Mus musculus: one gene and its partner. The protein of the gene in region 1 interacts with the protein of each later gene in a biochemical or structural test. Links are inferred from orthologs where the notes say so. Each region holds a gene or a part of one and is shown in the gene's direction. Other genes may lie near its edges.

What was found.
Region 2: the proteins of Plxnd1 (region 1) and Sema4a form a complex in vitro, tested with the Homo sapiens proteins (2 studies listed by IntAct, with this or other methods). The link is inferred for Mus musculus from reciprocal best matches to the Homo sapiens genes PLXND1 and SEMA4A.

What each region holds. Positions count from the first base shown.
Region 1 is NC_000072.6:115,991,935-115,996,343, reverse strand, and holds the start of Plxnd1 (plexin-D1 precursor), read left to right. Parts: upstream 1-1,338; 5' UTR 1,339-1,538; coding exon 1,539-2,855; intron 2,856-4,409. UniProt on the Homo sapiens protein: Cell surface receptor for SEMA4A and for class 3 semaphorins, such as SEMA3A, SEMA3C and SEMA3E. Plays an important role in cell-cell signaling, and in regulating the migration of a wide spectrum of cell types.
Region 2 is NC_000069.6:88,452,837-88,457,379, reverse strand, and holds the start of Sema4a (semaphorin-4A precursor), read left to right. Parts: upstream 1-1,618; 5' UTR 1,619-1,832; intron 1,833-1,879; exon of another isoform or gene 1,880-2,122; intron 2,123-2,151; exon of another isoform or gene 2,152-2,257; coding exon of another isoform or gene 2,258-2,300; intron 2,301-2,533; coding exon of another isoform or gene 2,534-2,562; coding exon 2,563-2,701; intron 2,702-4,248; coding exon 4,249-4,409; intron 4,410-4,543. UniProt on the Homo sapiens protein: Cell surface receptor for PLXNB1, PLXNB2, PLXNB3 and PLXND1 that plays an important role in cell-cell signaling. Regulates glutamatergic and GABAergic synapse development.

The sequences.
Region 1 (4,409 bases):
GGCAGGCAGGCACAGGGACAGGAAGGTTGGGGTGGGGGCCAGGGAAATGGGGATGGCTGGGCTCTGAGCCCTTGCTGCTGACCCTTCAGGCACAGGGAAAGCCCCTCCCCATCCTTCCTTCCTATCTGGTGGGAGCAAGGTCACCCTCTGAGAGAGGGCCACTAGGCCTCAAGTGACAGCTGCAAGCTGCTAGGAGACCCTGACTGAGAACTTGTAGCTGGAACTGTGGCTTCAAACAATGGGTCTGTGTCCCACCTTCCCCCTTAGCGGTGTATTTTGGGCTTTACTTCTGGGGCCTCAGTTTCCATGCACGGAAAGTGGGTTGAGTCTTTGTAAGGAGGTTAGCATTTGGTGTGGTCCTATGTGGGCACTCCCATGCTATGGAGAGGATCACCTGGGTTTCTATGACCTTAGGAAAATGACTCCTTGCCTTTATCCCAGGGCCTACCTGTTCCTTTGAAGGTCAAAGGAGTCCGGTGCCCAGTGCCAGCTCATATGTGGAATGACTTTAGGTTTCTCAGAACCTTGGCCTAAGGGCAAGGTCCTGGGGGTCTGCGGGGTTTGGCTCTATCCAGAAAGTAAGGCCCTGTGTCTGGTGTTCTGCTCAGCCCAGCCTGCCCTTGCAAGAGGAATGAACTTCCTCTCAACACAGTTTCCTACTTTTGCTGTGGGATTGTCAAGTTTGTCCCCGGAGCCTGCTGCTTGCAAACTCCTTTTACAGAGCAGTTCGGGGAACAGACCATAGGTTAGCCAGGGGCCTGATGTCCCTGGTCTGGCTGGTCTTTAGAGTGAGGCTTGGAGAACATAGGGGGTGTGAGCGGGGGGGGGGGGGGGCGGGGGGGGCGGGGAGGGGGACTGTGGCCAGAAGGGGCAGGCGGTTGAGGGGAAATGGAGGGCTTTAGGGGCAAGGAGAGGAAAAGAGTAGAGAGGGAGAGCAGCGGGAACAGAAAGAAAAAAAAAAAAAAGGAAACGCAGATGAGGGAGAGGGAGTGACGCGGGAGAGACACGGGGCGGAGTTGACAGGATCGGAGTAGGGGAGTCCGAGAGATTGAAAGAGCGAAACTCTGAGAGGCGGTGGAAGGCAAACGGGAGCCCAGAAACAGAACAGAGAAGGTACTAGAGCGAGGAGAAAGAGAGGAAGGATAACAAACAAGCGAGAGGAAGACATTCCAGGAGCTGGCCAGGAACCAGGAAAGAGGCAGGCAACTTGCGACTGCCCGGGTATCGGCCACCAGTGACCTCGGACCGCGGGGCGTGGCCCAGAGGCGTGGCCGGGGGCGTGGCCCGGGGCGAAAGGGCGTGGGCCAAGCTGCTGGGGCGGGGAGATGGGCTGTGGGCGTGGTCTCCACGGAGCCGCCCCCGGGCTGAGCGCCTCGCCAGAGTCGGGCCGGGGCGCCGGGGCCGGGGGCGGCAGGCGCGGGCAGGAAGCGCCTCGCGGCCCGGGCCCCCCCCCCGCCTCTCGCCGCCTCCGAGCTCCCGGCTCCCGGCCGCGCCGCGCCCCATGCACTCGCCGCGCCGCGCAGCCCGCGCTCGCCTGGATGGCTCGTCGCGCCGCGGGCGGCGCACCCCCTAGCGCCCGGGCCGCCGCGGCCGTCCCCTTGCGTCCGCGCCCTCACTCGCGGGGCCCTGGTCTGCTGCCGCTGCCTCTGCTGCTGCTGCTCGGGGCGGCACGGGCCGGCGCCCTAGAGATCCAGCGCCGTTTCCCCTCGCCCACGCCCACCAACAACTTCGCCCTGGACGGCACGGCGGGCACCGTGTACTTGGCGGCAGTGAACCGCCTGTACCAACTGTCGAGTGCCAACTTGAGCCTGGAAGCCGAGGCGACCGTGGGTCCCGTGCCGGACAGCCCGCTGTGTCACGCCCCGCAGCTCCCGCAGGCCTCGTGCGAGCACCCGCGGCGCCTCACGGACAACTACAACAAAATCCTGCAGTTGGACCCGGGCCAGGGTCTGGTGGTCGCGTGCGGCTCCATCTACCAGGGTCTGTGCCAGCTGAGGCGCCGGGGCAACATCTCAGCCCTGGCCGTGAGCTTTCCGCCTGCCGCGCCGACCGCAGAACCGGTCACCGTGTTCCCCAGCATGCTCAACGTGGCCGCCAACCACCCCAACGCGTCCACTGTGGGACTGGTGCTGCCGCCTACCTCGGGCACCGGGGGCAGCCGTCTGCTCGTGGGCGCCACGTACACCGGCTTCGGCAGCGCTTTCTTCCCGCGCAACCGTAGCCTAGAAGACCACCGCTTCGAGAACACGCCCGAGATCGCTATCCGCTCCCTGGACGCGCGTGGAGACTTGGCCAAGCTCTTCACCTTCGACCTTAACCCGTCGGACGATAACATCCTGAAGATCAAGCAGGGCGCCAAGGAGCAGCACAAGCTGGGCTTCGTGCGTGCCTTCTTGCACCCGGCGGTGCCACCGCACAGCGCGCAGCCCTACGCGTACCTGGCGCTCAACAGCGAGGCGCGTGCGGGCGACAAGGACAGCCAGGCGCGCAGCCTGCTGGCGCGCATCTGCCTGCCCCGCGGCGCGGGTGGCGACGCCAAGAAGCTCACCGAGTCCTACATCCAACTGGGCTTGCAGTGCGCGGGCGGCGCGGGCCGCGGCGACCTCTACAGCCGCCTCGTGTCGGTTTTCCCCGCGCGCGAGCAGTTCTTCGCTGTCTTCGAGAGGCCCCAGGGCGCCCCAGGTGCCCGCAACGCCCCGGCCGCGCTTTGCGCCTTCCGCTTCGACGACGTGCAGGCTGCCATTCGTGCAGCGCGCACCGCCTGCTTCGTGGAGCCGGCGCCCGACGTGGTGGCGGTGTTGGACAGTGTGGTGCAGGGCACCGGGCCGGCCTGCGAGAGCAAGCGCAACATACAGGTAAGCCATAGACCTGAGGGGCGTGTGCGGGGATACAGTATGCACGCAGATATCCCAGAGGATTGGTTACTGCCAGCGGTGCTGGCCCGGGAGCGTACTGGGTCACAGGTGCGCACACCTAAGTGGGGAGGTCTAGGTTGTCAAGGTACCCAGGTGTTCCCCGAAGACAGCGCACCTACAAATCAGCTCTGCAGGTGGGGGCCACAGGTGTGTGCTGAACTGAGAGAGGGGAGTGACACCAGGAGAGTGTTTAGGGAGAGTGCAGGTGCCCTTAGGACATACCTCTGCACCCTGGCAGATGTGTGATGGGTGTGGCACCTGGCACTGAAGATAAAGGGCATGTGGGTCGGAAGGGCTGAGTATGTGACAGGGACACCCATCGGAGATCCCAAGAGTGTAGACCTGCAGGGATGTAAACTCCCAGTGGGAGCCCGTGCCAGGGGACACTGTTATTTGGGAAGTGATTGGTTCCCTAGTGAGGCCACCTGGTTGGCAAACAGGTGTGTGCTCAAGGCCACCTCAACAAATAGCAAATGAGCAGCTAGCAGGTGGTGTGGCAGACCTGTGATCACAAATGCTGTGGGTTTTTAACTTAAGCCAGCCATTCTCAACATGTGGGTTGTGTGTGACCCCTTTGGAGCCAGACAACCCTCTCACAGGGGCTGCATTATCCTGCATATCAGATATTTACTTTGTGATTCATAATGGTAGCAAAATTACAATTATGAAGTAGTAACAATGAATTCATTTTATGGTTGGGGGGTGGTGGTCTTACCCAGCCTTAGAAAGGTTGAGAACCACAGACCTAGTGTGTGGTGTGTCAAATGTCTTCAGCAAGTGTGTTCTCATCCCTTTGTACATACAGATGAAGAAATGGGTGTAAGTTTTAAGGGATGCACAAACAGCTGAAAAGGAGCAGAGGTGGGGCTTGCTTGAACACAAGTTGTTTGGCCCCCTCATGTGTTCATGGTGCTGGGGCTTTGCGGCCTTACAGATGTGGAATGGGGGCATCCAGGCAGTCTGGCCGGACAAATGGAAGATGGAAAAGGAGTGAATCTTTGGTGGAGAACTATAGGGCTGAGGGTGAGGCGGGGCCTCAGGGTGGGCAGTAGCAAGAGAGCCAGGCTAGGGGATCCCCAAGTGAATTGGCCTTGGGTACAGCCAGTCCCCTCTAAGAATTTCACAACAGAACTCATTTTCTTTCAACCCCAAAATGACACTGAGTTTACAAAGGGCTAAGCCCAGCCTTCTGGGCTCACTGAGGCTCCCTGCCTTGTCCCTCTCTCTCTGTGGTCCTCAGGGGTAGCAAGACTATACCGTGGGCGTGCCCAACACTGGGGCTTTGAGCAAGCACAGATTCCTTCTCTTGGCAAAGACTCCCTCAGCCGCCTACCACCCTGCCGACTGACCCCTCACAAGAAAGGTCATAGCGGGTGAGAGGCAGAAGGACTGTCTGAAGTTTGTGGCGCTGCTACCCAGCAGGGTCAGGCCCTGTGCAGTTCTGGGGTGAGGACAGCCACTGTTCTTCTCTCCGGAGCCTTGCCATGGCTGTGC
Region 2 (4,543 bases), on another chromosome or scaffold:
CCCTGAGTGATTGGTTCCTGGCTAGAGGAGAGAAAGCCCCTGCTCCTCCCACTCTGATGCCTGCCTACTCCCTCTGTTGAGCAGCTCTGAGCTGAGCTAATGCACTAGGGCAGGAGATGGGACTGAAGGAGCCAGCCATGTAGGGAGAGCTTCCGAATTAGACAGGTCTGAGGTAGATGGATGGACGTCAGGCTGTCCAGTCACCCCTGCTGCACTTCTGTTCTCTGTGCAGCAAGACTGTAGTGGAGCCTGCCTGCTGAAGTTGGGAAGCCTGAAGCCCCAAGTGTGAGCTTCTCACATTGTCCGAGGGCCTGGGAGAGCACTTGGTCTCCTGAGGACGCCCAGGGACAGGAAGAGAGTAAAGAAGGATGGCATTGGAGCTGCTCCTCTGGTCACAGCTCCTCCCTGTGACCCAGATAGGCCAATCTGTCTCCAAAGAGAGGCCCTGAGGTGGTGGCTTCCCAAGCCTGATCTAGAGGTCAAGGAGACTCAGAAGTTTGTGTCAGCACAGGGAGATTGGCAAAGTCCTCACAGTGAACGGAGAGCTTGGGGGGGGGCGGGTCTTAGCAAGCTTTGACAGATGAAGCCATCAGGAGGGTCTGTGTGAGCCCAGCTCCTGGGCCACACTGGAGAACGGAAGCAGAGGGGAAAGCATGAAGGGAAGGCCAAGCAGGCTCTACCGAGGAATGCTTTCCGTCTAGGAGCTGTAACTGGAAGGGTGGAGGACAGCCTACAGTGGGGACCATCCTGGCAGTGAGGATGGTGTTTACAGTGAAGATAGGGTATGTCCTGGAGGTAGACCAGCTTGGGTCACTGTGCTCTTTAACCTGAAGTCAGCTGACCCGGGAGAGTGGGCAGCAGCCCAACCACTCTTTATTGGCCTAGGAGCCCTTGGTTACTCATTAACCCTGCGTTATGAGGTCTTCCTGGAACCTTTGGGGAGGAGGAACCAGCCACCATGCCAGCTGGGTGCTTCAGCTCCAAAGCGTATCCCAAGAAGCACGCGTTCAAATGGGGAATTTCTCCAATTTCCCACTGAGACGTCAAATTACTAGGGCTTCCTCAGCAAAGTCATAGGGAAAAACCAAAAAACTAATACAAATGTAGGATTTTTATTTATTTTTTATTTTTTTGATACGGGGTTTCTCTGTATAGCCCTGGATGACCTGGAGCACACTCTGTAGATCAGGCTGGCCTCGAACTCAGAGATCTGCCTGCCTCTGCCTCCCGAGTACTGGGATTAAAGGTATGCCTCGCCACCATGCCAGCTTTAAACGTGTTATCTTTCAAGAATGTGGTCCTACTGGGTGTGGGAGGTCGGGAGGTCTCAGTATGTGGCAGTGGGGGAACCCCACAATGGGGTCAGAGAGAGAAGGAATAGGAGAGAGACGGTGTCATACCGAGCTCTCTTGAGCAAGAGGAGTCTGCAGCTTGGGCTGGTTAGACTGGAAGTGGTGTGCGGGAGAAACAAGGGCATCACTGAACTGGCCGGGAAGGAACTCTTAATTTCTGGATAGACTAAGGAGGGAGGGAGGTGTGTCTCCTGCAAGGCCTTCAAGCCTCACCCCCACTCCCACACTCCACCAGTCTCCCCGCCCTGATCCACCAACTTCCGCCCAAGCCAGCCAGGATCTGTCACAACTCGAGGTAGAAATTCTGGTTTCCCTGGCCTGAAACCCACACTGGCTCTGGCAGGATGGGTGCCTGGAGGGCCGCGCGCCCGTTCCAGCCAGGCTGAGCCTGCTTGCCTTGCCTGGACCCCCTTCTTTGCCTCGGATGGCACCCTGATTCAGGGTTTGAACACAGGACTTCTCAGTGTGGCTGGCTCAAGGGTATGTGAGATGAGGCGGGGGCGGGGGAGGGGTGTGAACCTGCATTCAGTGGCCATGGGGGAGGCTGATTGCGGAGCTCTGGGGAGGCAGACAGGGGGGCTGGAGAAGTTGAGAGTCTGCCAAGGACTCCTGCCCAGGCCACTCCCAGGAAATACAGAGGGCAGCCCCACCACAGTGGTAGATAAACTGGCACGCCCCTATCCCTAAGAAGAAGGCTAGATGGGCCCGATTAAGCAAGAGTCAGAGCCCCTGGGGGCTGAGGAGAGGGTAGGCTGTCTGCCTGGGTTGGGGTGAGTAGCGGGCATAAGGTGTCACAGCACAGGCCAGCCTGGGGAAATCTACCTTTTGCATACAGGAACTAGTTCCCTAGAAGACCTTTGCCCAGGGCCAGAGATGATCAGAGCTCTGGAGCACGGGGCCAGGAGATGCTGAGGGGGCAAAGTGGAAAGGAATTTTTCTGTGAGTCAGGTGAGAAATGGCAAGGTAGTTTTTTTAATGGTTAGGTGACCAGAGGCACAGCGTGGGCCACAGCAGCACCCTATGCAGAGGGCAGCAGGAGGCACCTTCAAGGCTGGGGATGGATGGAAGTGAGACTCTGAGGGCCCTTCCAGAGAGGAACTTCTGCCCCCTGGGGCTCTCCTATTGGCCCTCAGGAAGGGTGTGGTAAGCATGGCTAACCCAGAAAGTGCCTGTTTCCTCAGAACCATCTGGTGACCATCTCAGGCTGACCATGGCCCTACCATCCCTGGGCCAGGACTCATGGAGTCTCCTGCGTGTTTTTTTCTTCCAACTCTTCCTGCTGCCATCACTGCCACCTGCTTCTGGGACTGGTGGTCAGGGGCCCATGCCCAGAGTCAAATACCATGCTGGTAAGTGTCTAGTACCTGGGAGGTATGGATGGCACCATAGAGATGAAGGGGCTGAGGAAGGAGAAGGGTGTGCCAGAGGGGACGAAATGGCACGAAGAAACAGAGATGCCAGGGAGCCTGGGAGGGGCTGGGAGAAGAAGAGGCCACCTGAGGCACAAGTTGATCTGTAAGGGAAGGAAGGGTCACTGTGACCCTTTTCTGCCAACTCAGTGGTTTTTCTTTCCCTCAAATGTCAGTCACTAAGCAAGGAGCCTTAAACTCCTGACTGCTTTTTCAGTACCAGGAGCTGGAAAGCTAAAGCTCGCTCTAGATTGTCTGAGGAGCTGGAGGGCCCAAGCCAACTGCAGAGGTCACACCGGGCCAGATCCTGTCCAGGAGACTGGGCATCAGAAGGGATCCTAGCAGCTCACCCAGCCTCGGTGGTTTCTTGAGGAGGCTGTTCGGTTACTGACACCTTTAGTTCCAGGAAATGCCCCAGGGGAAGTGCCACATATACCACACACCCACCCACCCACACACACACACACACACACACACACACACAGAAGTAAGTTACTTCTGTTCACGGATGTAGTTTAGCATCCTTCTGAGGCAAAATGGTAAAGGAGATGTAGCAGTCGGTGGATAGAGCGGCATCTCTGGGTGGGATGGGAGTGCAGGCACAAACAAGCCTGCGTTTCAAGGGGAAGTACAATGAGCTCTCTTCAGAGTTCAGGAGAAGCCAATCTAGGCAGTATTGTTTCCATTTTGTCTTTGGATTCCTCTTGGTTTCCAGGCTTCCTGAGGCCAAAAGAGTAACAGCCAGATTGTCCTCTGACTAAAGCAAAAGTCCACATGTGCTCACTAGAGACTTATCTGAGGTGCTCTTTCCTCCTTGCTGATGTGCCAGTGTGTCAGGAACCCACACATTCACGTGTGTGTATGTGCACACATGCCACCACCAAGATATGTAGTGAACATGCACTACTAACCAACATATTCAGACTGTCCAGGTGGCTCCCAGGAATGCCCACACTGATGGGGCTCAGAAACCGAGAGGAAGCAGCCTTTTCTGCTGCAGTGGGCATTGCTGGTGGTGGGCAATTGCTATCGCAGAGTGAGGGGAGGAGACAGAGGAAACGGGGGTGGCAGGGATCTGTAACTACGACAAATCTTGAGGCGGACGACAGCTATCTCCGTTGCCTGTGGCTGAGAACCCCTTCCTGTGTCTACCTGTCAGCTCTCCCCCTCCCATCCTGCTTCACTGCATCCCCCCAGGCCTGAGACTGCATCTTCTAGCCTCACTTCATTTTCTGTCTGTGTCTTGAGCAGGCTCTCCCCCCAACACCACCAACAGTACCCAAGCTACCATTACCCTGTCTTTGGAACTTTTCACTTCTGGGGACTCAATCCACAAAGTTCCGATGCCCTGCTGTTGAAGGATGAAGGAAATGGAGGGGGGTGCCGCCAGTGAAGGGGGGCAGCTGCTGAGGCCTGCCACCCCTCCCCCACCTTTGCCTCAGTGGTCAGCTCCTTCTCATCCTCTCCTTGTCATTGCCTCCCAACAGGAGACGGGCACAGGGCCCTCAGCTTCTTCCAACAAAAAGGCCTCCGAGACTTTGACACGCTGCTCCTGAGTGACGATGGCAACACTCTCTATGTGGGGGCTCGAGAGGCCGTCCTGGCCTTGAATATCCAGAACCCAGGAATCCCAAGGCTAAAGAACATGGTGAGGAGGCCAGGGGCCAGAGTCCAAGACAGCAGCTTCCCTGGACCAGTTCTGCTTCCATATGAACAGCCGCCACCTGCCACTCTGAGTCAGCAGTGACAGCAGGGACTGCTGTGGTCTTACAGTAACCCCAG